Linked DNA regions of Coturnix japonica. The protein of the gene in region 5 purifies or fractionates together with the protein of the main gene of each other region. This does not show direct contact. Links are inferred from orthologs where the notes say so. Each region holds a gene or a part of one and is shown on either strand. Other genes may lie near its edges. The genes, in order: ASH1L, SINHCAF, PWWP2A, JARID2, RBBP4, SAP30 and ING2.

Evidence for each region.
Region 1: the proteins of RBBP4 (region 5) and ASH1L purify together in Homo sapiens (affinity purification with mass spectrometry; 3 studies listed by BioGRID and IntAct, with this or other methods). This does not show direct contact. The link is inferred for Coturnix japonica from reciprocal best matches to the Homo sapiens genes RBBP4 and ASH1L.
Region 2: the proteins of RBBP4 (region 5) and SINHCAF purify together in Homo sapiens (affinity purification with mass spectrometry; 3 studies listed by BioGRID and IntAct, counting the BioPlex papers as one, with this or other methods). This does not show direct contact. The link is inferred for Coturnix japonica from reciprocal best matches to the Homo sapiens genes RBBP4 and SINHCAF.
Region 3: the proteins of RBBP4 (region 5) and PWWP2A purify together in Homo sapiens (affinity purification with mass spectrometry; 4 studies listed by BioGRID and IntAct, with this or other methods). This does not show direct contact. The link is inferred for Coturnix japonica from reciprocal best matches to the Homo sapiens genes RBBP4 and PWWP2A.
Region 4: the proteins of RBBP4 (region 5) and JARID2 purify together in Homo sapiens (affinity purification with mass spectrometry; 3 studies listed by BioGRID and IntAct, with this or other methods). This does not show direct contact. The link is inferred for Coturnix japonica from reciprocal best matches to the Homo sapiens genes RBBP4 and JARID2.
Region 6: the proteins of RBBP4 (region 5) and SAP30 purify together in Homo sapiens (affinity purification with mass spectrometry; 11 studies listed by BioGRID and IntAct, with this or other methods). This does not show direct contact. The link is inferred for Coturnix japonica from reciprocal best matches to the Homo sapiens genes RBBP4 and SAP30.
Region 7: the proteins of RBBP4 (region 5) and ING2 purify together in Homo sapiens (affinity purification with mass spectrometry; 3 studies listed by BioGRID and IntAct, with this or other methods). This does not show direct contact. The link is inferred for Coturnix japonica from reciprocal best matches to the Homo sapiens genes RBBP4 and ING2.

Annotation. Positions count from the first base shown.
Region 1 is NC_029540.1:1,741,180-1,744,679, forward strand, and holds part of ASH1L (histone-lysine N-methyltransferase ASH1L), read right to left. Parts: coding exon 723-3,500; intron 1-722. UniProt on the Homo sapiens protein: Histone methyltransferase specifically trimethylating 'Lys-36' of histone H3 forming H3K36me3. Also monomethylates 'Lys-9' of histone H3 (H3K9me1) in vitro. The physiological significance of the H3K9me1 activity is unclear.
Region 2 is NC_029516.1:52,973,298-52,976,797, forward strand, and holds part of SINHCAF (SIN3-HDAC complex-associated factor), read right to left. Parts: intron 1,749-3,500; coding exon 1,649-1,748; intron 918-1,648; coding exon 791-917; intron 1-790. UniProt on the Homo sapiens protein: Subunit of the Sin3 deacetylase complex (Sin3/HDAC), this subunit is important for the repression of genes encoding components of the TGF-beta signaling pathway.
Region 3 is NC_029528.1:9,981,750-9,985,249, reverse strand, and holds part of PWWP2A (PWWP domain-containing protein 2A), read right to left. Parts: intron 2,655-3,500; coding exon 974-2,654; 3' UTR 960-973; exon of another isoform or gene 1-959. UniProt on the Homo sapiens protein: Chromatin-binding protein that acts as an adapter between distinct nucleosome components (H3K36me3 or H2A.Z) and chromatin-modifying complexes, contributing to the regulation of the levels of histone acetylation at actively transcribed genes.
Region 4 is NC_029517.1:67,726,291-67,729,790, reverse strand, and holds part of JARID2 (protein Jumonji), read left to right. Parts: intron 1-321; coding exon 322-414; intron 415-1,078; coding exon 1,079-1,197; intron 1,198-1,337; coding exon 1,338-1,408; intron 1,409-2,208; coding exon 2,209-2,323; intron 2,324-3,500.
Region 5 is NC_029538.1:4,587,389-4,591,394, reverse strand, and holds the start of RBBP4 (histone-binding protein RBBP4), read right to left. Parts: upstream 2,801-4,006; 5' UTR 2,666-2,800; coding exon 2,650-2,665; intron 2,190-2,649; coding exon 2,042-2,189; intron 1,474-2,041; coding exon 1,328-1,473; intron 1,099-1,327; coding exon 925-1,098; intron 741-924; coding exon 625-740; intron 460-624; coding exon 299-459; intron 175-298; coding exon 48-174; intron 1-47. UniProt on the Homo sapiens protein: Core histone-binding subunit that may target chromatin assembly factors, chromatin remodeling factors and histone deacetylases to their histone substrates in a manner that is regulated by nucleosomal DNA.
Region 6 is NC_029519.1:38,529,552-38,533,567, reverse strand, and holds the start of SAP30 (histone deacetylase complex subunit SAP30), read right to left. Parts: upstream 2,801-4,016; 5' UTR 2,475-2,800; coding exon 2,178-2,474; intron 1,479-2,177; coding exon 1,356-1,478; intron 1-1,355. UniProt on the Homo sapiens protein: Involved in the functional recruitment of the Sin3-histone deacetylase complex (HDAC) to a specific subset of N-CoR corepressor complexes. Capable of transcription repression by N-CoR.
Region 7 is NC_029519.1:35,244,523-35,248,545, forward strand, and holds the start of ING2 (inhibitor of growth protein 2), read right to left. Parts: upstream 2,801-4,023; 5' UTR 2,469-2,800; coding exon 2,270-2,468; intron 339-2,269; coding exon 1-338. UniProt on the Homo sapiens protein: Seems to be involved in p53/TP53 activation and p53/TP53-dependent apoptotic pathways, probably by enhancing acetylation of p53/TP53. Component of a mSin3A-like corepressor complex, which is probably involved in deacetylation of nucleosomal histones.

The DNA.
Region 1 (3,500 bases), on a different chromosome or scaffold from region 5:
AAACGCTCAGCATTTCTTAGCACAGCAGAATGGAGGTCCTTGAACAGCAAATCCTCTGCTGGTGCCACTGCCATTTCCTGTGCTCAGTCTCAGTTGCATCTAGGGATATATGTAAGATGAGCTTCCTAGCTACGAATAAAACAGTCATTACAATGTTTGGTCTTGGGCATTCCCAGGATCATTTTGCAGCTGTTTGGAGGTACTGCAAAAGGCCTCAAGGATCAAAGCCAAACTACAGGAAAAATTATCAGAACACCTAAAATCGAGTCATGAAAGAAATACGGAACATCTTCTTTAATGGAAAAGTTGCTCACAGTACTAGTACCCATAGCTAGCCTAAAATCAATCCATCAAACTTCAAAACAAGCAGAAAGATGGTTTCTAAAATGATCAGAAATCGTAAGGAAAAAGAAAAGACTTTTGAATGAGAAAACATCCCTAGAAAACTTTGTATGCTTCTACAACTAAGCAATGCAAATCTGGTGGGAAAAGGTACTTAGGCAGCCCTGTACATAGGAGACTTCCCATTAATCTGTGCCAGAAGCTGAGCAGAACAGTGCACTGACACAACAGAAATCCTCCATCAAAACAATGGTAGTCCTAAAATCCAACACAGAAAAAACTTCCACAAAGCCAAATCTATCGCTGCCTGCCTTCCCAATGCAAGCTGCTTTAGAGCTTACCATAAGACTCATGTGGTGATACAATGAGAGCTCCCTTACCTGACAGTGGCTGCAGTGCCTTTTCAATAGAAGGCAATGGTTCCTTTCGGAGCGGTCGATTTAGCGAGCTGTCCTGTGCACTGAAGAGTCCGGGGCTGTCAGTTAGTTTTTTACGTCCATTGGTGCTGGTAGAGTTTGTGACTCTGCAGCTGCCTATTGCACTTGTGAAAAGATTTGTGTGTTCATCGCTGCTGGCCGGCTCGGAGCTGGGAGTAAATCCCCCCAGGGACAGACCTGGGGAGCTGTCTGAGCAGTCTATCTGTAACGGCGTCTGCAACCCCAGTGCTAAGGAATTAGACTCCGAAGGCTCCCTCCGGACCCACTGTTCATCTCTGCTTAGCAATCCCTTTGAAGGCGACAGGTGGGGACAAGACATGTGACATCTGTGTTTCTCCTTATGTTTGTACCTCTCACCGACAGCCTCTTTCCCAAATCTGTAGCGCTTCAAGGACTCCAGGACTGTTCTTGAAGAGCTATTAGCCGTGATGGTGTCCATGGAAACCTGCTGCTGCTCGGATGTACGATGCTCTCTGTGTTTGTGGCGATGCCTGTGCTTGTGTTCCAGCATCCAGCCATAAGCCATCTCGGGTGGAACGCTGGGGTACGTGCTCATGGACAAGAGCGGAGTCCTACTCGTCGTGAGGAAAGCCTCCTGCCGTAAAAGTTTATGCTTTTTCTTGTGGTATTTGGTGGGATTGAGAAGCAAATGGCCTGTATGCATGTAGGAGGGTGGTGGCAGCGGGGTGGTGAAAGAAGGAGAAGGTGGTGGGGGATAAAGAGTCGGAGGGTACCTTCCGTAATAACCTAAGCCTATGGGAGCAGCTGCGAGGGGGGAAGGAGAGTAAGGCATGCCATAGGAGGGATAGAACCCGGTGCTGGAGAGAGGAAAGCTGAGGCTATGCATGAAAGGCATTTCTGCCATAGCCTCCCTCATTTTCGGAGGCCTGCCTCTCTTCTTCTTTAAATCAGGTTTCCTAATGTAGTGCAACGGATCTAAAGGAAAAGTAGGGTGAGTATAGAAACTATTGAAATTTATCCGGAAAATGGTAGGCAGGAGATCTCGGGGGATAAAATGGTGACTTCTGTGGGTTATTCTAATCTCGCTTAATCGACTGATTAACTCTTCCAATTCAGCCAGGAAATCCGGGTCCTGCCTACCTCGAAGCTGAGGATACTTCTTTTTCCTTTTCCGCTTCTGCCTCTTCATTTTGTCATAACTGAGGTAATCGTGACTCCGGCGCTTGCATTTGTGTTTATGCTTTTCTTTGAGATTACTTAAAACCGTGGAAGCTTCGGGTGCGATAAGGGAAACGTGATCAAACGAATGCCTCTTCTTTTTCTGCCCACAAAACTTCTCGGCTCGATCTGAAGTGCTGTTGTTATCTGTTCCTATCCCGCTGTCGCTGGGTATGGTCTCATCGCTGTGAGATTCGCTCACGGGGGAAGGAGTGGCTTCTTTCAGCGATGTCAGCTCACTCAAGTGAGAAGGAGAGTTTGGCAACAACGTGGGTGGAGATAATCTCCTCCTTCCCTTAGCAGCTTTCTTCATTGCGAGTGTCTGAACAACGCTTCCTTGCCTGGAGTGGATGTGCAAGTACGGCACCGAGCTGGGCTCGATGAATCCCGCGTCGCTGCTGACGGGGCTCTGCCCCCCACTGACTGCAGAGGACTGGGAGCAAACAGGGGATGGGAGAATCTCGGAACTATTAGCTGCTGAAGGCAGCAAGTGGGGAAGTACTTGGCCAAATGATGTGCCGGGAGTTTGCTGGGAAGATTTCTCAAGAACTGTCAGACTGGCAGAATTACTAGTTAAAATACCGTTCAGGACAGCTTTGGGTTTCCTTCCCCTCCTTTTTCCTATGTAAATCGTTCCTTTCTTGCTGACGTTAATTTGCTGGCCTAATTTTGAACCGAAAGTGGCGGCGAGTGTCGACACCGTGTTGTGGAGCTTAGATTGCACTTTCCCTTTATTTGGTTCCACCGTACTCGAGAGAATCTGATTCAAAAGTTTCTTTCTCTTCAAAGTTTTCATTTTATTTATTTTCCGAATAATAGTTTTCATTAACTGCCCGTTGTTTCTCTTGGCAACTTTTCTGTCTGAGTCTCCTTCCAAATCACTCATGCTACAAATATTAGGTTTTTGGACATCTTCTGGTCCTCGGAGCTGGTCCTTTCTCTCAAAAAACTCCCCGCTCCGATGCTGATCACTTTCAGATTCTATCTTGTTTGAGCTTTCTGTTCCAACAAAAGGTGCTACAGAAAGAATTGGTGGCTTCATTTTGATCGATGACCTCATCTGCCTTTTAGGCCTCCCCCTCTTTTTAGGAAAAGCTTGTCCCGATAAACTCTGCTTTAGGGAAGGAATTTCCACCTCTGGCTGCAAAATGGGAGGTTCTTGCTCTTCTTTTGACTGCACCGAAAAGACTTTTGACGCTGGGATCTTTAGAGTTCTTTTGGGGGGACCTTCAAGCTCGGGCATCTCCTTGGATTTAGGTCTTCCTCTTTTAGGTTTATACATGTCAGGTAAGAAATCATCCGACATACACAAACTTGAAGGTTGTTTGTGTGCACTGTAGAACTTTGGAGTCTGCTTGTCAGACTCGGTTAGCAGTGCAAGAGACTGTCCACTACCCTCGTTCAGTTTTGGCAGCTGATGCTTAACAAATTCGTGCTCCACGAATGAAGACGACCCTATGTTTTTTAAGAATTTGGCCTGCTCCAAATTACTGTTGGATAGTGCACTGTATGAAATGTTTTTAAAAAGCTCTGACCTTTCTA
Region 2 (3,500 bases), on a different chromosome or scaffold from region 5:
CCACTGGTTCTTCTGAGAGCAGTTCCTTCAAGTCAGGTAGAGTGATGGAAAACAGAACATCAAGACAGCAACAGTTAGGAAGCTAAAAAGTTTGCTTTAGTGAAAAAAACCTAGATTGCTGTTATATATTTAGAGCGTTACTGACAGATGGCTTTGTGGGAAAGATTTGAATCCATATCTACTTGAGAGTCTCAAGTGCTAGTGGAAAGAAATCACTGAGACTGGCAGAAGGTATAAGGAGACTGTACAGAGGAACGTGGCAGGAACTTACAGAGTGTGTGTGTACACTGGGGGGGAGGGCAGAACGTAGACTAAATAGAAAGCCTAGACTGAAAACATAGATTGAAGAAAAAGACTGATAGTGGTATCAGCAGAGCAGCCTTTCTTGAGAAGAGAGGGCTGAAAACTATCATAGCACGTTAATGAGAACAGTGGGACATCTCTTTCAACTTCAGTGAGGGCTTTGCCCAAGAAGTTTTTCCAAGAGATGTGTCATTTAAGTGTGAGATACAAGCTGCAATTGCCTACTCCTTCCAACCCTGCTTCTAACCTCTCCTTGCCACTTCTCCACCTGACACAACCAACCCCCTGCAGACATTCATACTGCACACAAAGTCCCCCTTTCATTCCACCCCCTCCCCAGACACAATAAGAGTTGACATGAACAGAGAAAACCTAACTGTGTGAGAGCACAACTGAACCCAGGAGGTGACTCAGTGTGGCCACTCAGCACTAAGTTATTTTAGGGGAAGCCAAAGTTTATAATCAAAATCTGTTTGAATCTACTTACTGTGTCGCTTGAATTCTTTTTGCAGCTTGCTGATTTGATTGCTCTTTATTCTGCTTCCAGAGAGAGTTTTCATTTTCTTTGGTTTCAGTGTTGTTTTCAGACTGGGTCCAGCCCTGGCATCTACCACCTACAACACAGAAAAATACACACACAGTGATCCTGAATTATGCCCAGATACGCCTTTGTCAAGATGTCTGCACCGATTTAGCTGAAGGTACTCAAAGAATCATTATGGTTGAAAAAGACCTCTAAGATCACCCAGTCTAACACCAGCCCATCCCCACCATGCCCACTGACCACATCCATATGGTTACTGAACAATTCCAGGTACAGTTGAATGCACCACCTCCCTTGGCAGCCTGATCTTCTTACCAGCCCTAGGCCCAAATTAATTAGATCAAAACAGAACATATGAACAGCAGTAGCTGCACGATATTAGTCTTTAATTACCTGATGAAACCACATTGATTTGTGTGCTGCACAGACTAAGTCACCTTGCTTGTTCAAGCTATTAAGAAAAATAAAAGTGACCAGTCTTGGACAGAGGCCAGATCTGTAATGCTTTGAGTGTCATAAGAGACTTCTGGACAAAGTTATGAATTGAGAAAACAAGGAATTACAAGGTAGGTTAGTCTGTGACTCCATCCATGGCTTGCAAAATCACAGTTCACACATAAGTCCAACAAAGACAAGAAATATTCCAGGCAAGCTTTAGAAACACCGGGGTTAGGGAGGGAAAGCACATGGAAAATAGCAACCCCTAAACTCTCTCCAGTGTCTCCCCTCTGATGTAGGATGGACTGAAGTAGGAGACGAGTCAGTTTGGGGGCAGGGAAGAAATAAGATAAATCAACTAACGTGATTCCAGTTTTTTTTGGATCCCGCTGGCAATTTTTTCCATCTTTTCACCAAAAGGACGCAGGCATTACAAATGTCTCCTGAGCGGGCCTCGTGGAGCCTGGGAAAAGTGAAAAGCAAAGATCACTTTATAGCAATTAATCAAAACAATCATGCAATAACAGTGTCAGAAGCACAAGGGGAAGGGTTCTCAAGTTATGATTTGCAGGCATGGTGATTAATCTGGGGGGCTCCATCAGTGCTATTCGAAGACCAGGCCTCACTTTCAGAAAAACATTATTTCATGTAGAAATAGAAGGCACTGTAATTTGCCACCAAAAGGAGGCTAAAGAACCCTAGCCTCGTTACCTTCTGTTGTTTATACATTGTCTGCCTTGTTTTCTTTTAAACCACAGCTTCAGTGACTGGATTGATCTGACCAGAGAGGAAGAGTGAATAGTCCTATTCCTTGGGCATAAGCAGGGAACAAAACTCAGATCTGACAAAAGCGTTTTCAGCTCTCAGCTTTCTCACAGTGCTTCAAGGATGAGTAACAAACACCATCCAACACATCGCTGCACACTTGCAGGACAGTTTCAGAATCCACAGCACTGGATTCTGAAGCAGCAAAACTTGCTTCCTTCAGAAACCATTTCTACAGCTAATCCACACTAGAGGAATTCACACCAAAGGGGGACGCACAGTCAGGTTTTCCAGCTGTTTAAATGGGAGGACTTTGAAGCATGTATAGATGAATGGGGCAGGCTCAGATAAGCCCTTATTTGTTTAGAGTTAAGACTGCATTTTTCACCTTGGCAAACATATTTCAGATAGCGCGAGACCAAAAGCCCCAGTATTCTGCAAGCTTCTTTACTGCTGTTTATATAAAAAGCAATGGGCCTTCACGGACTTTCCACTGCCAAGGACAGCAGCCAAGAATTACGAGGGCAAAAACTGTCAGCATCAGATTTATGAACAAAAATCCACGGTCAATACAAAGCACTATAAAACCATACATGAAACGTGTGTTTCTAGAAAGGGGGGCAGGGAAGAAAAAGGAAAGAGACGAGGTAAAGACTCACAAAGACTACAAAGATTTTCACACACGAAGTTAAATGCTTGAGACAAACACCGTGTGTGTTTTATCAGCTCTTAACAGTGGATGCAAGCTCAACTTTGGCCTAAGATTTTGATGAGAGTCCAGTGAGGCTGGAAGGACAAAAGCTGAAGATAACAACAATGTATTTTTCCTGGGAAAATAATTTCGAGGAAAGCTACAAGAGCAGAAGCTGTTTATTTTAGTGAGGTAATCAGAAGAATTCGCCTCTGACAGCGCACTGAGGCATATTTAGACAAAACTCTCCACGTTCCAAAAAGTTAGAAGGCCACAGCAGCTGGTACAAGAAAGCACTGCTATTTAGCTTTTGTCACTGATACTTCCAAACAACATGAGGCACAGCTTTGATTAATTAGAAAGCTGATGAATTAATTCTTGCTCTTCATCAGAACAGTCTCCAATGTGAACTTTTAATAACGTATCAATAAGCCTTACCAGAACAACAGCACCGATAGCCAAAACAAGGTACAAGCTTTATCTAATGTCCTCGAAGCTCCAGAATAACCAAAAGCCTCCACAGATCCGTGCTGCCTTTCACCTCGTGCAGGGATTTACAACTCTAAGGTTCATGACTAAGTCACTACACCATGGTGGGAAGGAATTGGCCAGAGCCTTCAATGCTGTCATCTACTGCAGCTCACACGAGCAGCCACAACAGGCTGATAACCCAGCAACGTCACACACAGCAGCAGAGGAACCAGCCCCGCAATGGGACAGCCCCAAGGAGGCTGGGGCTTTCCCCCCATACCACCTACC
Region 3 (3,500 bases), on a different chromosome or scaffold from region 5:
TCCTAAGAATTTAGGAACAACCAGTCAGGAGAAAATCTGACCAAATCTCATCAATCAATTATTTACACATTCAAAACAAAGCCTCTCTTAATCTAAAACTCCAGGCAAATGGCCTGAAAGACTTCTTCAGGAAGAAAGACCAGAAGTTATGATTCACACCTATGCAGCATTAACAGCCCTTGATCCCAAACACTGAGCAACTGCTCAGCTTTGTCTTAGAGCTACAGGCATCACTCTCAGCTTCTCAGACCCTGAAGTGTTAATATTTGTGCCCCTATGTGCATAGAAAGGCTGAGTGTTTAAGAAGTGGTCACTAAGATAAAACCCCATTTAATCTGGTCTTTAATTTTGTGAATTTTTCTTCCTTAAAAACTTCAGCACGTCTCCTAATGCCATTTAAACTGGCCTTCGTGGAATGGGGCACGCCTCTAAGACGTTCACGCGTGCATTGAGCCAATTGGCACAGGCCAGACTAAATACATCAGAGAGTATTTGAAATCATGTTTAAAGACCATTTAGACAAGGCTTACGTTTCTACACTTCCCTGATGGGCCACCTAAGAAAAGAAAAAAATAAAATATCACAGCTACTACTTTCACCCCTTGTGTCAACCCTTTGCCACACAGCAACTAGGTACATACTGGGTAGAAACTACTAAAAAATTCCCTGCAAATAAGCTGCCTTTCAGCTGAGGCTATGGCTCCTATGCGTTGGGTGTTTGAGGAGTTGTTTTTTTTCTTTAAAAAAAATTCTCACTTGGAAAAATACTGAAGTTCTCACTTTAGGCTAATTTTGATTGCATGTTCAATTTGTTTAACTTCCATGAAACCGCTACAAATGGAACAACTTTAGTATAAAAAGAGCATCCAACCGACTGCAACTTCTGCCTCGGCAAGTCCTTCATGGTAGTCCTCTAACTAGGCTATGAATTTCGTGGAGCCTCCAGATTTCTCGCCTACCTTACTCTCCATGTTCACGTTTCAAACTGTGTCAGCAAGGCCCGAACTTCGGGAGTCAGCTGTTTTGCAGCCTTAGCTGCCTCTGTGACGGCCTTGCGGTAAAGACCCTTTCTCTTCTTATTAAAGCGCGACTGGAAGTTCTCTAAAAAGGGGGATAGTTGTGAAAGAGCGAGAATAGACGTTGTTGGGGACCCAAACCATGATATACAAGCCTCCTGGCGAACTAAAAGACCGTTATCTTTTCGGCTCACAGTTATGGTCAGGATACGGGCTGGCCACCAAGGGAAGCCATAAATTTTGGCCCAAACAATGTCCCCTACACATATGGTCCTGCCATCTGGTGTAACACATTTAGAGACTTTTTTGGAAAAGACTTTCATTTTCAAGGAATTACTGAGCTTTTTCTCTTCCTTCGAAGAGGAGGAGGAGGAGGAAGGTGCATGCATGCTGCCTGGAGGAAAATCAAAGCTTTCAGTAGAGCTACACTCAGAGTTGGTAGATTTCAAATCATCTGTGCTATCACTACTACAAACTGATGCACTGGAAGAGTCAGATTTCTTTTGATTAAGGGTCATGTAAACCGTTATATTGCTTTTGCTGCCTCTCTTGCCCAATGTCTGGTGTTCATCCTGATCAACAGTTACATGCACTTCACTTGTGTCCTGAACCTCACTGCTGGCCTCTTCAGGGCCTTTTGAGGGGCTCTGATTTTCTGAAGGGGCCTCACCTGCTGAGCGGGTGGAGGAGCAGCGAGACTGCGGCTTAGTTGCCATCTTGCCACTCCGTATTTTCTCAAGTCCTGTCTTGAGAGAAGAGTCATTTTCTTCATTCCGATATCTTTGTGGCTTTAAACGCAATCGGGGCGGGAGGGAACCTGAGCTGGTGTTCTGAAGACGCCGTGTGAAATGGACCTTTGAATGTGCATTTTTGGAAGAGGAGGTTGCACTCTGCTTCTTTTGTGCCTTTTCTTTGGCCATTTTCAAGACTTCCCGAGCTTTTGCATGATCCATGTTTTTGCTCTGGAGAACTTTTTTTGTATTTAACTGCGCTTTTGAAGTATTTGCTTGTGCAGTAACTTTAACTACTCTGCTTCTGCCATGGGCAATATTTGAAACCTTGACCACAGCATTCCTTTTCTGGCTTTCGTTTTGGCTTTTTCCATCCACCTTATGGTCAGTCTTAAGTTTTTTATTCACAGTAGTCACGCTCTCGTTTCTTCGTTTTTTATTATCCTCATATTTTGAAGAGTCACTTGCATTGCCACCTTTTTTTATTTCCTTTTTTTCTGCAACAACACTGTTTTTGCACTTGTCACATAAGACCTGGCGGGGTCGTAGTTTGATAGCATTCATAATAGAAGTGGGCTCCTCCCTGTACATTTTACGCTTGGGCCGCTTAATTTTCCGGGGCGGAGGCTGAGGTATTGACTGGTTATATGTGTCCCTGATAAACAAAGGAGGAGGATATGGCGCTCCCTCATGGAAGAGAGGAGGTGGTTTAGAAGTCCATAGGCTTTTAGCTAAGCTTGGTTCTGATGGCTGCGTGAGAGAAGAGTCATCAGGGACTGCAGCATTAGATTCACACTTCACCTGTGCCTCATCTTGGAATGGTTTACTTTGGAGCTGCATGGCTTCAGGTTTATCCTTATATTCCCTTTTAGGAAATATGGTCACAGGGATTCCATGGGGTCCAAACCTTCAAGAGAACAACAACAACAAAAAAAACATTAAATGTTTTGAGGGATCTCTTGCTGTATTTATTAAAGAAGCATTTTAAAAGTCATCCACATAACTACCATTCAAATAACACGAGTTCTGGACAAAACTTAAACATTAAGCCAAGTCTTAGGCTAAGCTTTGAAAAAGTAAAATACCAAAACCAAGTCAGCATACAACACAAAATACACTAACTTCAGTTATGGGTGTTTCTATTGTGTCAACAACAACCCTCAAAAATATACACAAAAATACTGCCTAGGACAGCATTGATGCTTCTAGAAAACTCTTATAAACACAAAGTTCAAACTCAGCGAGTTACCCCCATCAATTCCAAATGTACACAAGATAGATTTCCACACCAATTCCATTTATATGAGCAAGGAAAGCATTTTGGGTAACTTTTACAGAATTCTTCAGTTTATGGCATAGCAGAAAAGCCTGAACTTATGTTAGATTTCAGCCAAATATACAACGTGTAAATACTGGCATCTAACAGCACTGTCATTCTTCACTTTGACATCCACAGAAGATTGCTGCTTGGCCATCTGATGCATTACAGCCTAGAACTTTGAGTTTGGGTTCCTTCTGGCAAAGCCATCCTTACAATTTCAATACAGTACAAATGATTCCCCTCTGTTCTGCAAACAAACTGTTTTAAAACATTGCCTACTTTTCTGCAGGCAGCACTAGGTGTTCTAAGATCTCTGATGCCCTGTTTGACACACATGAAACTCCACCAAGCCTTATACGTTAGTTTAACTTCCCTACGCTAAGAGAAGTAGCATGTTGTTCAACAGGTAACCGATACCTCCTGCAATATGTT
Region 4 (3,500 bases), on a different chromosome or scaffold from region 5:
GGTCATGTATCCGGCTGCTGTAGTTTTCAAACACAGAATGCTGTGTTGGATGAAGCAGTGCACGTGGCTTTCTGTGAACGCTCAGCTGGTCTTTGAAAGGGTTGGTTTGACCGTACTGTTTTGAGAGGTGAAATGTCATTTTAAGGTGATGAAACTTCTCTAAGGTTTGAGAAATCTAATAAGAAAATGTCACATGCTTCCCGAAGATATTTTCTTCATTTGTGATTAGAAGTTTAAGCATGTAAGGAAAAGAGTTAGGCCAGGGGAGATGGGGACACCTAGTTTTATTTTCACTTTTAATTTTATTTTCTATTTCCACAGGGTAGGTCCGTTTCTTTAACAACCTTCTACCGAACAGCAAGAAACATCATGAACATGTGCTTCACAAAGGAGCCTACAGTAGCTGAAGTAGAGGTGAGACCAGCACAAGGGGTAGTAAATGTTTTGTGTTGTGGAGGTGGAGCATAGAGGTTCATCTTTATTGATGTTTAGAAACTACCATTAGTGGTTTAATGTGGGGGATGTCTGATGTGGGGAAAAAAAATAATTCATTATGTGTAGGTGTGATAGTGATTCTTCCCTTCGGTTTTTTAAACGTTTTTCATAAAGGTATTGAACTGCGAGAAAGACTTTTTAGTGTACTTTGCAATGAAGCACAGGAGCAAGTGGGGCTAATTCCTGTCTTCACAATCCACCAGTGCTTTTTAGTATTTGCAATCATGGAATCATTAAGGTTGGAAAAGAACTCCAAGATCATCTAGTCCAGCTGTCAATCCATCCTCACCATGCCCACTAAACCACATCCCTCAGTGCCACATCTACACATTTCTTGAACATCTCCAGGGATGGTGATTCCTCCACTTCTCTGGGCAGCTCGTTCCAATGCTTGTCTCCTTCTGAGACAAATTTTTTCCTAATATCCAACATGAACCTGTCCTGGCACAACTTGAGGCCATTACCTCTTGTCCTTATTTCTAAACGGTGTTTTATGTTGAGTTACACTGAGGTGATTTCTGGGACTTAAATTTTAATGGGAAGTACCTTGTTCAAAACCCATCACCACTTTCTCTCCCAACAGCAAGAATATTGGCGGTTAGTGGAACAGAAAGATAGCCATGTAGCAGTGCATTGTGGAAAAGTAGATACCAACACCCATGGGAGCGGCTTTCCTGTGGGGAAATCTGAACCATTTTCTAGGTAAGGTCACCGAATCTGTGCCGCCTGCCCCATTTGCGTAACCAGGTGTGGGAACTTGCTGCCAGTGGGGCAGCACAGCGCTGGCTTGACAGCAGGGGCATGGTGCTGACATATGTTTCCCTCTGGGTCCCTTTTAACAGGCATGGGTGGAACCTCACAGTCCTTCCTAATAATACAGGATCCATCCTGCGACATCTTGGTGCTGTGCCTGGTAAGTAGGATTCTTTTTCTGTGTTTGTCATGTGTGCCCTCTAAATGTGGTAGTGTAGTCATCAAAGCCTTCTCTCGCTCTGTCTAGTCCTTTTGTTGAGTAGCTGCCTAGGTAGAGATGCAGTTGTAAGTAGCAGCTCATACCTGTGGGATGGAAATCAGGTTTTAGATATAGACTTAATGAATGGTTAAGACCATGCACCTGGGAGGAGCTGGTTGTGCTTGCAGCATCACTGTCTGTTGTTGTCAGTACATCAGTGTTCTTGTTTTGTGTCAGGGTGATGAAAGACATACAGCTTTCTTGGTGCAAACCTGGACAAATGTTGGGTAAAGCTGCACACAGGTTTTTTTTTTGTAAATGAATTGTTGCAAGTGTCACAAGCTCCAGCCGCATCTGTGTCATTAGAAACATTAGCTGAAAGCAAAATCCAGTCACCTGGATTTTGTGCCTGGACCGTGCCAGTTAGGAAAGAGGATTTATGTTAACGTGTATATATGCACTGACACTGAGAGGCAGTCTTCTGTGATCAATAGCATTGAGCTTGGGTTATGAATATTTGTAAATAAACCAAAGGATAAAATTTTTTGCAGCTCTTAGAAAATAAATATGTTCATCTGCTAGATATTTCAGTAGTGGGAAATGCTGGTGTCATTAAATAAATTATTCTTTGTGAATTATTCACTCTGATAGGCAGACTGCAAAAAGCTCACAGGTAGAAGAATTGCAACTGAAATGCCCTCAAACTGTCTTTTAATTAGAAATTGCGATTACTCAAAACTCATTTTCAATCTCTGTTTCAGGAGTGACAATTCCTTGGCTAAATATTGGCATGGTCTTTTCTACCTCATGCTGGTCTCGAGACCAAAATCACCTTCCATACATTGACTACTTACACACTGGTGCTGATTGCATTTGGTAGGTATTACCGTGTTTGTTTTCATGCTCACTGCAGTGGCTCTCTGTAGGCTGGTGTTAACAGCAGTTTTTCTAGTACCTTTTGTGTGAATGAATTAACATTCAACTAAACTTCTACCTAGAAGTTTAGTCTTCACAATGGCAGGTCTAATGAAAAACATAGTATAAACTAAGCATTAAAAACCTTCTTTCTGGGAAGAAAAGTTTTGGTTTATCTTCTGTGATCTGTTCTGAGATACTTAGCAATGAACTGTTTCTGCTTGAGATAGGGTAGGAAGTTTTCATGAGATGGAAACCAGCACAACAGCTGGTCAGGGCAGGCTTCCCTTAGGCTGACAGAGAGATACTTGTCCAAGCTTGCTCCGTATTATCATTGGGAAAGTGACTGAATTCATACTCTGACTAAATAGCCACCATTTTCTTATTTTACATATCAACTCTGTATCTACCAGATTCCTAATATTTTCTATTGTGATTTTTTTCTTTCTTTATCATATGATAATCATTTTTAATTATGATTCCACACATCGTTCTAGTGCCTAGATGCTGGCCATTAGTACTCAGGTGTTAGCTACGTTTCATATGTTGGAGACACTTAAAACAAATGGACTTAGCACTGAGCTTACAAATGGTTATGAACATGGTGATCCTTTCCGAATTCAATGCGTATGTGCTGCTACAGATGATGATGAATTAAATTACAATGGAAGTACAACAGCTGATGGAGGAATTAGTGGAAGCAGGTGCTGCCGGCATGTCACGTGCCTTTCTGTGACATTCCGATGATAATGGTGTTATTACCCAAGAGGATCATCAGTGAGAACAGTGAACGATAAGCAGTATAACTGTTTCTTGACCTCAGAAAATCAATTAAATGGAGAACAAAAGTTACTGAAATGCTGACTCCCACCGAAGGTGAGAAGCTGATTGCCTTTCAACAGTTTCAGCAGTTCTCGAGAACCCCGAACAATGGGAGCCTTCGGCTCATTGAGCAATGTGACAGGAGAAGGTCTGGAAGGCCTGAAGTGTATGTGCTGCCCTGCTGCCACACTGCTTGCAGAGTCAGCAAAGGCCTTTGCATCCAGGAGTCCCCATGGAGTGGCAATGTCAGCCATTCTTTGTTCATGCGCTAAGTGTGTACTTGTTCACCTTTAATGCCTGTGCTTCTCAGCTGGTG
Region 5 (4,006 bases):
CAACATGACACACCAACTCCTACTCCAAATTCAATACAAACATTTACCTTATCAGCTGATCCTGTAGCCAGGATAAACTCACTGTAGGGATTGAAAGAAAGGCAGTTGACTTCAGCTGTGTGAGCATCCACGGAATGGCTGGGTTTGGAGGTGTTGTTTGACCGCGTATCCCATCTGTAAGCAGAAGGAACAGACCTGGAATGAAGGCTTACACCCCACCTTACGGGCAGACCAGGGAGCAGCTGGGAAGGCAAAATGGACTGAGATGTTCAGCCTCTAAAGAAAGCACCCCGCTTACATCATGAGCTTCTGATCATCAGCAACAGATCCAAAAAGAGATTCGTGCAGCAGGTGCCAGGAGACATCTTCCACTACAGCTGTATGCCCTGTGAAGATGGTCTTTGCATCCACCACTTTACCTTCTTTTGGAACAGCACTTATATCCCACAAGCAAATGGTCTTTAAAAAAAAAAAGGGAAAACCAAAACGAATAAAAATTGTATCTTTAGACAGGAATTCTCTGCACTCCCCCACCTCCATCCCCTCAAACACAGAAACATTCCTGACCTTTGTCAAGGGACACAAAGTGCAGATCGCACCCCAGCTACACTTAAAAGCACTCACGTGATCATCAGAAGCACTAAGCAAATGCCCACTCAGGTTTGGGTTCCACGACAGCCCGTAGCCTTCTTTCTGGTGTCCACGAAGACGCAGATCAGGGTTACACTCTCCAGAAGGGTCTGTAAAAAGGCAGTGTAAGAACTCCGATGCTTAGAATCACTATCAGCACATCAAGGATTAAAGTTACACGCTATGCAACCCACAAAACTTTTCAGCCTCTTTTGCACCCCATCAACCTTAAGAAAAGGCTGTTGTGGTTATTTTTGTAGCTCTGAAGCATGAAGGTGACAAAGCTCCAACCACCTGGTTTAGAAGGATGTTTGGTGTAATCGAAGACGAGGACATCGCTGGATGGAGTCTTTGTAGCAATGATGCATGGGTTCTGTGGCATGTAACGAGCTCTGTTCACTTCTCCCTCATGGTTTATCTTGATTTCAATTTCAATTTTTCCGCTAACAGACCCAAAGCCTCCAAACTCTGTGGGAGAAAAAATAAAGAACATAAGTAAGCATTGTCTTGCTTACAAATAACTCTAAGAAGCCCAAAGATCACAATACAGATTGCATAATCCAGGCTTCTGGCAAGAAGAAAAGCTAATATTAGATTGTTAAGAACTTTTAGCATGCAGAAAAATGGATTCAACCATTAAGAAGTGGAGGAAAAACAGAGTTTAAGCCCCACCTGATTGACATCTTTGCTCCCTTACCTCCTTTCTCACTATCGTAGTGTGAGGCATCAAACTGTGCATCATCATTAGGCAGCTGCACACTCGCTATCACGAGATGATTTTGTTCATCTGAAGTGTGAGTCCCCAGGACCAACCGGTGAATGCTGAAATCCTTGCCCTCAGGCCTGTGAGAGAAGAAACTCAGGTGAGAAACACATGGAGTTTACACAAACATTGAGCTGAATATGGTATGTACTGCTAACAGCTTCCGACACCTGTAACATCCTTAGAAACTACCATTGCTCTCCTGCTCTGACACTGTATTTCTTCCTCCAGAAGAATCTCTCCTCCCAACTCAAGATCTCAAATCACAATTCTTGGAGCATAACAGCACCTACCCCCAGATACCTCCAGCAGTTCCCCTGCCTTCCTTTAAGAGACTCTAACAGCCTCCCCAGCGCACAGTTGGAGATGCATATACACTCTTTGGAAGCAGAATGTTGTGGAAGATTAGGATGAAAGAGTGCTTAAAGTGAAACTATATTTAGTTCTCTGTGGGGAGGAGGGCTTTGCATTTCAAAAAGGAGAACGAAGCTGGAAGAAGAAAAGCATCAAAATCAAAGACGTGAAGCATTTTCTTGGTGATAAGCAGCACTTTCCCCACATTAAAGGTGTCTCTGGGGTTTGCAGACGAGACAAGGAGTCACACGGAGCCTTACTTCTGCAAGGAGTACATCCAGAACGCACCCTCACCTCGTCACATCGGGGAGCCACTGCGCAGTCAGGCTGGGCCACTCCAGAGCGTGGGTCATTACCAAGTCATATAAGAAGGGTGTGTTCTTCTTCCATATCTTATACTCCTCGTTGATCACACGTTCTTCCACTGCGTCATCAAAGGCTGCTGAAGGGTTCATGAAAGCAATGCGGGATGTTAGCGTTTATCAGGACAGGCACAACACACACAGAGATGGGTGGGCACTCAATAACGGGGCACTCAATAATGGAGCACTCAATAACGGGGCCCTCACTCAATAACGGGCCCCACCACACGCAGCTGTTTATCACCCAACGTTGCTGCGGGACACGCCGCCCCCCCCGCCCGCAGCCCCTCGCAGTGTCAACGTAGCGACCCGTTGTAACCCGTTGTAACAGGCCGGTCCCTGCTGTTTCCCCCAGCGCCCCGCAGGCCGCACGGGACGCCCCCCGCCCCAGGGCACGGCCCAGCGCCCCCTGCCGGAGCCCCCCCGCCATCACTGCGCACGGCGCCGGCCGATGGAGGCGGGGGGGGCGGGCAGTGAGGCCTGAGGCCTCTCGGAGCCGAGTGAAGGCCGCAGCGCCCAGGCCGCGCCGCCGGGCCTTACCTTCCTTGTCCGCCATTGTGGGCGGCGGGATGAGGCTGCGCTGCGCGAGGCGGGCGCTGCTGGCTCCGCTCCGGACGCGGCTCTATTGTTTCCTGCCCCCGCTCCCTGCCGCTCCCGCGCCGCGCACCCCTTCGCGCGCCAACACTGACCAATCCCCGCCCGCCGCCGGGAGGCTTCCGCCAATCGGAGAGAGGCAAGGGGCGGGAACGAGGGGCAGGAGAGCGCGCTCGGCGGTCACGTGTGAGGGCGGCCATTTCCGCGGAGCCATTTCCGGACGGAGCGGGTGGGCGGCTCTTAAAGGGACAGTGCCCCGGTGAGTGCGGTCTGCGCGGGGGGGGGGGGGGTCTGCAGGATGGCACCGTGAGCCGGCCCCGAGCTGCCCCTGAGCTCTGTCCTACCGGTTACCGGTCGCTTAATGGGTCTCTGTGACCCGCCCCGTTCCCGGTTTGTGGCTCCGTTCACACTCAGCCCTGTGCTCTTTCGGCCTTATTCCCTCCCAGGAGCGTTTCCCAGCTCGCAGGTCTCGGTGCTGATCTGCGAACAGAACCCGGAGATCCCGTGTGGGATCGTCCCATGGCCGGCAGTGAGAGCTGCTCCTATGGGAAAAGCCACGGTGGACTCACGTGGGATGTCGGGAAATAATTACCCTGAAGTTAATGGGGCGCTGCAGCCGGTCTGATGTGTTTGCGAGGGAGAGTCGGTGTGGAACCGACTGGTGGGATCCACTGGGTGGGATTGAAGTGCTCCATAACGATGTGCTGTGCCCCATAATAATGTGCTGTGCCCCATAATAATGTGCTGTGCCCCATAACGACATGCTGTGCCCCATCACAACGTGCTGTGCCCCATAACGTGCTGTGCCCCATAAGGTGCTGTGCCCCATAACAATGTGCTGTGCCCCATCATGTGCCATGACACACAGCAGGCTGTGTACCCTGTGCAGTGAAGCTCCAAAGCCAAAGTTACCCGTGTAACTTACTGTAGAGCTGGTAGAATTATGTCCTCGTAGATGCAGTATTTTATTGCTGGAGGGTGATTCACACGGAAGGATCAGGGTTCCTCCCTGCAGAGGCTGAAGGGCACACTGTTGGTGCATGCTCTCGGTGCACACTGTTGGTGCATTGCACACTGTCAGTGCACACTGTTGGTGCATGCTCTCAGTGCACACTGTTGGTGCATTGCACACTGTCAGTGCTCGCTGTCGGTGCGGTGCTGGGTGTCACTGCTGTGTGCCGGCAGTGTGAGCAGCACAGCACTGAACTCTGTGCTTCTAATCTTGTTTTCATGCACAGCCTGTGTGCAGCTGCTCCCCATCGGCTGCTGCTGAGAGCCCCAGCTGGAAGCAGCTCTCCTGTCC
Region 6 (4,016 bases), on a different chromosome or scaffold from region 5:
TTAAAGTCATCCAGCAGCCTCAGCTATGCAATATTTAAGGCAACAACAGTGCCAGTGCACTCCTGGTGACCCGGTCAGACTTGATACAACCCTGCCTTACGTGTTAAGAGGATGGCATGCCCTCGTACTCAAGACAGCAGCACTGTGGAAGTCACTGCAAATCACTCCTAACATCTACTTCTGGAAATGGGAATGCCCTACAGGTGGTCAGCAGTAAACTGGATGGCAGTTCAAAAATCAAGGGGCCAGTGGGCATCTATAGCACACCAACACCACACAGGAACTGCATGCTGAAACTCTCCAGAACTACCTACTTCCCTGCACCACTACCACTGAAAATACATTTCCTTTCTTCTGTTCTAGGGATATCCATCAGTTGTGTCATGCTTTATTATTCCTGTCTGAGCAAATAAACAGGCAAAAGCTGCAGTTGCCACTGTGCCAGACAGCTACCAAAAGCCACAAAGAACAGCAGGTTTAGAGAGCTTTCAGAGATGCCATCCAATGTTTTTAGCTGACAAAAACCACAGCCCAGCATCAAACTACTTCCAATCTCCTAAAATCCTCTTATAGTCAAAGCCTTCAGGCTTGAGCCGTGTGCCTCCAGGCAGAGATTCCTGCATGAAGTTTCATCACTGACATTGCTGACGCTGACCTTAAGGATAAGTTCACAATCCTCAAGCACCTTCTGACAAACACTGGATAAATCTCTTGGTTGAGGCCGGGTAGGCTGTGCTCAACGATTAACACACAAACTGTAACAGAAATAATCCAGCACACATGTAGGAAGAAGAAAGCTTTAAGTGCATTCACATTATACTATGAAAAAAGTTTGAAAGTAGTTCACTTCCAAAACGGGTGGTGTTTCACTGGCCTACAATAAGGAAGGCAAGCAGAAATGCCTTCTTATTTCAGCTCCTCCTCAGCAAAACTGCCTCAGCATCTCTATCCCCAAGAAGGACTAAAACCAGTGAGCTCCCTCACTGAGAAACTTCCAGCTACACTAAGTGGTAACTACAGGCACCATCTGCAACGTGCTTCACATGGAAGGAAAGGATTGGAGGGATGTGACAGAGAAGCAGTTATAGCCCAAGTCCGGTGTGTCCTGTCAACCTTTACAAAGACTGATTTTCATAGCAAAACAACTTCTAGCAGGCTCCTGGAGCCAAAACTGTAAGGAAAGTTCAAAACAGCAGCTGCCTGAGATTCTGCACATCTAATAGAGAAAATACACCCTGGAATCCAGTTTGCTTTTGTCATATTAAAAGCCAAGCACATCAGGAGCCATCCCCAAAAGCAGGCACGGCTGAAGCAGGAACAGACTTAACGTAACTATTAGAAAAACCGTTGGCTACCTCTGGAGTGTCGATGTCTTGCACTGGTGAGTCACCATCGTCATCACTGCCTTTTCTCTTCCTTCTATTTCTCACACTCTGAATTAAGTTTTTGTGGAAGTCGCAGATATAAAGGTGTCTCGCCTACAAGAGTAAGACCGCATCTTTCAATCAAACCCGTGCAAGCTCCTCCCAGCCTGGCAGCACAGAGGCATCTACAGAGACATTCCTTAGGCAGCCTCGCTCACGCGGAGCGAGGTGGGGAAGCCCCTCTGCCTGATAGCGCTGCACGGAGGCATTGTTATGTTACCTCCACCGACTCGGCGGGAGGACGGGGGGAAGCGGCTACCGGTTGACTGGCAGAGAACGTCGCGCAGCGGGGACAAGCGCGCACACAACCCTCCCTCCAACCGCTCGCAGCAACTCGGGGATCGGCAAACAAACACGCACGAACGGAAGGCGGGCAGCCTCCGGAACATCCCGCGGGAGGCAAAATGCCACCTCCTCCCCATCCGCACGGCTTTACCTCCGCAAGGTCAAGCGACACGCGGGCCGCTCCCCTCATTCCCCAGCTCTCCTGCACAGGGCCGCACCGTGCGGCCGCGCCGAGCCCTCCCCACACGGAGCCCCGCGCCCACGGCCGCCGGGTGGGGCACCGACAGCGCCGGGCTCCAGGCGGGACGGGGCGGCGGCAGCGCTGCGGGAAAGGAGGGACTGGGAAACGGCGCTTCCCCGCCGCCGGCAAAGACAAAAAAAAAAAACAACCCGCAAACAAAAGAAAACACGCCAAAAAAGAACTTTAAAAGCCGCCCCCGAGCCGCTGCCCGCTGCCGTAAGACTTACGCTCTTGTCCAGCTCGATCTTCACCTTCTTCTGCGAGATGCTCTTCTGGATCCTCTTGCTGAAGCTGGCGTTGCCGGCGGCGCGGCCGCAGCGCTCTCCCTCCTCCCGCAGGCAGCACAGCTGCCCGGCCCCGGGGCCGCCCGCCCCGGCCGCGCCCGCGGCTCCCACGGCCAGCCCCGGGGGCGCCGACCCCGCCGGCACCTCCGCTCCGGAGCCCGCACCGCTCACCGCGCCCGCGGCGGCGACGGCGGGGTCGGCCCCGCGTTGGGGCAGCTCCTCGGGGGCGAAACCGTTCATGCCCCGCGTCGGGCCGGCGGGAAGCCCCGCGAGCGCCGCCACCGCTTCCCCCCGGCGAGGGGACTCGGGCCCGGAGGGTTCTACGGCCGCGCTCAGCCCGGACCGCGAGGGAACACGCGCGGCGCGACGGGCGCCCTCGCTCCGAGCCCCGCGGCTACCGGCGCGCTGGCGGCGCCCCACGGGCCGCCCCGCTTCCTCCTTCCCCCTCTGTCATGTGGAGACTCTTCAGCTGTTTCCTATGCAACAACAGCAACCTGCCCGCCGCCCCGCCCCTCAGCACTGCGCCTGCTCAAGGCCGAGCCGCGTTGCGCTCCGGGAAACGCAGTTCGTCCCGCCGCTCTGCGCTGCGGGCGGCGAGGCCGGGAAACTACGGCTCCCGAGCTGCGCGGCGGACGGGGCGCTCCGCTCCGCACACACCGCAGCTTGTTGCAGCTCGGTGCCGCGGCTCCGCCCGCCCCCCGCCGGCATGTGGCGGTGTCGGCCCGGGCCGGCTGGTAGGACGCCGCCTTCGCTCCTCCCCGTCGGCGCGGCCGTTGGGATTTGAAATGCGGCCGTGCCGCTACCGGGGGCGGGAAGTGGATTCTGAGGCTCCGCGTTGTGTCCGGATCAAACGCTGCCTGTATTGAGATATTTCGAGCTCTAAGAAAGCTACACGAGAGCCGCGTTAACGCACAGCCTGTAATAGCTCAGCCGCTGTGGGGCCGCCTCTGACCTATTTTCGTCCGAGTGCGTTCAGAGCGCAAAAAGGCGGCTTTGCGCTCCTTTTTGAGCCCTTAAATTCGCTAACGGGCCCGAGCGCCGTGAGGTAACCGCGGAAATATGCGGCCGTATCCATTACTGTGCGAGTGTGGAATCAGGAGAGTAACCGGGAGGTCAGCGAGCGATTTGAGGAGACGCAGATCCCGTGTAAGCCCAACAACTGCCTGAGCCAGGGAGTGCGATTATGCTGCAGTTTGGGTTTGTGCTGCAGATGGCTTTTTAATCCGGTTGCGTAACCTGGCATTAGAGAACGAGGGTAGGTCCCGCTTACGCTCCCAGCAGTTGCGACTGAAGGATCCAGCGAGTGGAGTTAGGCTGAGCGTACAGTGACAGACAGCAGTTATGCATGAGGGCACGTTTTGTGATTAAAGGGAGAAATTGGGTTAAGAGCTGGAAAAAATACCGAACCCTCCTTTGTTACAGCCCAGCTGGGTTCAGTTCCACACCCTGCCACTGTGTCAGCTCAGAAAAGGGACGTTTAACTCGCTGCTCAAGTTCCTTGTGATTCGACCCTTTCAAAGATTATAATGATGTTAATAATAACAAACAAAGCCACACAACAGTAGGAGACCTTACCTAAAGAAGATATAGGAAGAAGTGTGAGTTCCAGGAAGTTTCCAGCAGAAATCAGGGTCACAAGTAGCAATTTCTACCAGCTTACACTGTGTCTTTTGTGATCCGTTTCATTTCATCAGATGGTTTTGACCTTATGCTGAGCATAAAATACACAGTCTGTTATGTTTGCTGTGGTCTGTTAAAATGTAGAGACTACTATGTCTCAGA
Region 7 (4,023 bases), on a different chromosome or scaffold from region 5:
GATCCCGTTTGCTATGTGGCACAGGTCGCGGCTTTCACTGGTCCGCTGCCGACGGGGTCTACGTGAAGATCTCTCCGGCTGGCAGGACTCCATCTTTGCCTTTTCTAGAGGCTTGTCGTTCTCAGACAGGTCTTGAAAACACTGAGAGTGAGTTTCCATCTGTCGGGCTCTGTTCTCTACCAGTTCCAGCATCTGAGTAACTATCTGAATTTTTTCATCTCCCAGTTCTTGACTGTTGATTAAAGCACGCTGGAGATGCTGCTGCAGGCGTTTCTTCTGAACGGGATCGTTCTCAGACTTGTATTTTTCATAGACATCGTCTATTTCTTTTAAAGCTTCTACAAAACAAACACAGTACGAATAATTACACGAGATAGAAGGTACATATCTGTATTTTGTTGAGCACGTTCAAACGGACGTGAAACAGTACAAGTTTTAATTACAGTATACCCCAGTGGGCTACATCAGGTATTTAATTCAAGTTACACCTGAGCATCAAGTCAGTGTTTAAGGTGGTAATCCACTGCATAAAAAGCTTCTCAAGTTCTAAGAAAAAGCAAGATGCTTTTGAGCACTGGATAAAGGGAAGGGTAAGCCCAGAAAGGTGAACGCTGCTGCCAAAGCCAGAATGGTCCAAATTCTGACTCAGCATCTGACAAAGCAGGATTTTTTTGCTGAGGTTCCATATTAGAGTAGTTACAAAGCCCTGGCCTACAAACCAAAGCTTCTCATACCATAGGAAGAATCTCAGAATTCACTATAATCGTGTAACCATCACATTACAATCCAAAATTAGGATATGCAGGTCCTCTGCCTCCTCCTTTCTATACACGAGGGTTTAGCACTACCTTTTCAACAGCCCTTAGTTACAACAAAGTACCACAGTGGAAGCTACATATTAACAGATGTACAATCAGGATCTAAGACAACTTAAACCACTCCAAGTGGTGCTGGTTGTACCAAGAAGTTACATCCAGTTGTGTGTTACATTGAGGCAGAACTTGTCCTCCACATTTTCCCTTTTGATGGATTTTAAAATACTATTTTCCAGACGGAAAGCGACACTACATCTACACAAGAAAGACAGAGGAACTGCTGAAGCAGAAGGAACTAAATCAGTGGAGCTGACAGCGAGATGTGACGGGGTGCTCGATACAGCACCGATCCCTTCACAACTAACTTACAGGTCTGTAACGGGTAAGCGAATTTATGAACGATACTCAACTGATTCCACAACCAGAATGGACACGGAACAATCTCTCATCCTGCACAGCTCTGTTTATAGGCTGCCTTTCATTTTTAAATTAAACGCTTTGTGCAGTTTTAGAATGATTCAAGCTCGCGCTAAATGGAAGCCACGGTTATTATCTCAGCGTTGCTCACAGTGATTTCTTTTCCTGCTGACATCCTGAAACAGCACCTTAAGAGGGAACGGTCACTTTTTACTATAAATACTGAAATCTGTATGGAAACAGTAACCAGCAGCACTTTGTTCTACTGCAGACCTTCACCAGAGGAAGATGAAGTCAGTGCTCTGCCCATCTAATAACTCACAGTGCCAGTACTCCAGCTGTCACTGAAAACACAGGTTTCGCTTTCCTACAGCTTTCAGCTGCATCTGTTGCCTTGACAGGATAAAATATTTGCTCTGAGAAGTGCCGAGTAAGGCACTCTGTAGTCTGAACAACTAGAAAGACTAGAAAATGTGTAGTGACAGAGCGACAGGTTCACTGAAGTACTTCCTTATTAACCCCTTATTAATTAGAGGAGGTACCCGTGTCCAGCTAGACAGCTTTAAAACCTCTGCTTAAAAAGGAGGCTAAGAAAAACAGACCAGGACCAAGCGTCCATTACAGTTCATCTGCTTGAGTTTGGTGGAGCTGAGAAAAGAGAGTTCCAACGCTGTCAGCACGGAGCAGCTGTGCAAATCCTGCAGGCACCAGCACTCCATCCTGACCGCCCCGTGTGCCCCCGGCGGGCACGGCCCCCATGGCGGGGCGGAGCACAGGGCTCGTAACGGCCCCGCAGCCCCGGGCACACCTCGTGCTCACAGGCGACAGCCCTGCCTGCTCGGCGCTTCCCCTTCCACCCCCCGCCGGATTTCAAGCTGAGCGGGGAGGCCGGGGCCTAACGCCGCAGCCCGGAGCCCCGCGCCCAGCGCATGTGCGGCGGGCGGCCGCCTCCCCCCCACCCCGCGCCGCCCTCCCCTCCCCTCCGGTCGGTCCCTCCCTCCCGCTGCCCCGCGGAGGAGGCCGAGCCCCGGACCCACCTTGGCAGCGGGTGTCCACCTCCCGCAGCAGCGACACGTTGCGCTGGATGTCCAGCGGCAGCGACTCCACGCACTCCAGGTATTCCTGCACGTACAGCGACAGCAGCCGGGCCCGCTCCCCGCCCGGCGCCGCCGGCCCCGCCACCAGCTGCGGCCCCGCCAGCATCATCCCCCCGCTGCAGCCGCTCCAGCCGCACATCCACCGCCGGCACCGGCTCACGGGGCAGCCCCCGCCCGGCCCGCTCCGCTCTGCCGCCTCCTGCCGCCTGCCGCCCCTCTACCCGCGAGCGGCCGGACCGCTCAATGCCGCGGGACCGGCGCACCGCCGGGCCGGACCGACCCACCCGGACCGAGCCGCCCGCCTCGGGTCCCGCTCAGCGCCCGGCGGAACGGCCGCCGCCACAGCGAAACCCACTTGGAGCCCCCGCCCCTGGTCGCCTGGCTACGCGCATGCGCGAGGCCCTGCCCTTATAAGGCGCGGCTAGAGGCGCCGCCAGGGGTTCGCATTCTCCCGCCTTCCCCTCTCGCGCGCTCCTATTGGCCCGAAGGGCGGGGGGGCGGGATATAGCGCAGGGGCGGAGCCTCCCTTAAAGGCACACGCACCCTGCTCCTCCCCCCGCTGACGGCCGGGCGCCGACTCCGCGGGGAGCGTGGCGGGGCCGCTCCCTGCCGGGGGCACCTGCCGTGGCGGCGGGCGCACGGACGGCCGTGAGGCGGAGGATCGCCCCAGGTGCCCCGGCAGCGCCGCGTGTGGGCGGGCGGCGGTTGTGGGGGCGTTGGAGGCGCGGATCCGTTCGTCAGCCGGCTGCTCTCAGCCTTGGCTCTCGGCTCGTGCTGCCCGGCTGTCCCGGCACGGCGCTATGCCGAGGTGTGGAGTAATGGCCCGAGTCAGCAGCGTGGAAAGGAACGGAAACAGGGGGGTGGGCAGAGCTAGCGGAGGGTCGGAACGTGAAGGGCAGCGATGAGTCTGAATGGTCGCGGTTCTGTGAGGAAACAGAGCTGAGAAACAGATTCCTGCCATGCAGCGTAGGAGTAAAGCAAGATACAGCGTTAATTACAGACTGTGTGCTGCAGCCTGATAGCCCCGTGACACAGCTGCACCTATCAGGTAGATCCAGACTGCAGGCTATTAATTAAGACTGTTAAGAGTTAATTACCAGGACGCATTCAAGAATTTCTCAACACGCCGAGTTACTCTATGCTGATGTAACACCTAGTGCCACAGTTAATTACTGCTGTGCTATGAAAAACATCTTGAAGGATAGTGAATAAAGCCATGAGATAATTGAGTTCACGCGTTTGAAATGACACCAGTCACCTGATGGAAGCCTGGCTTAAGGAATTCGTAACACTGTCACGTGTGAGGATGTTTTCCTTCCCACGCAGGGAAATAAAGGTGGGAGTAACTCACTGCAATTCTTGCCCTAAAAATGTCTCCACTGACTACAAGGGAGCGCAGGTCTATTGTCACAGATGTCGGCAAATTGAATTCCATTCCGTATGCTGAAATGGGGTAATTAGGCGCCTACAGTTACCAGCTACGGATGTGCCATTTGTTATAGACTCGGTAAGGATTTGGGTTAGACTTGTCAAAATAAGGGCAGCATCTCCGCGCACACCATGTACCTGCATTGACGCTGGCCTCACACAGCTTTGGATGCAGCCTTTCACTCTTGGCGGAGCAGCCGACGCGGATAAAGTTGAGCCACAAAACGGGATGGCCTGAGAGTGAGCCCCGTTCTGTTGGTGCTGCG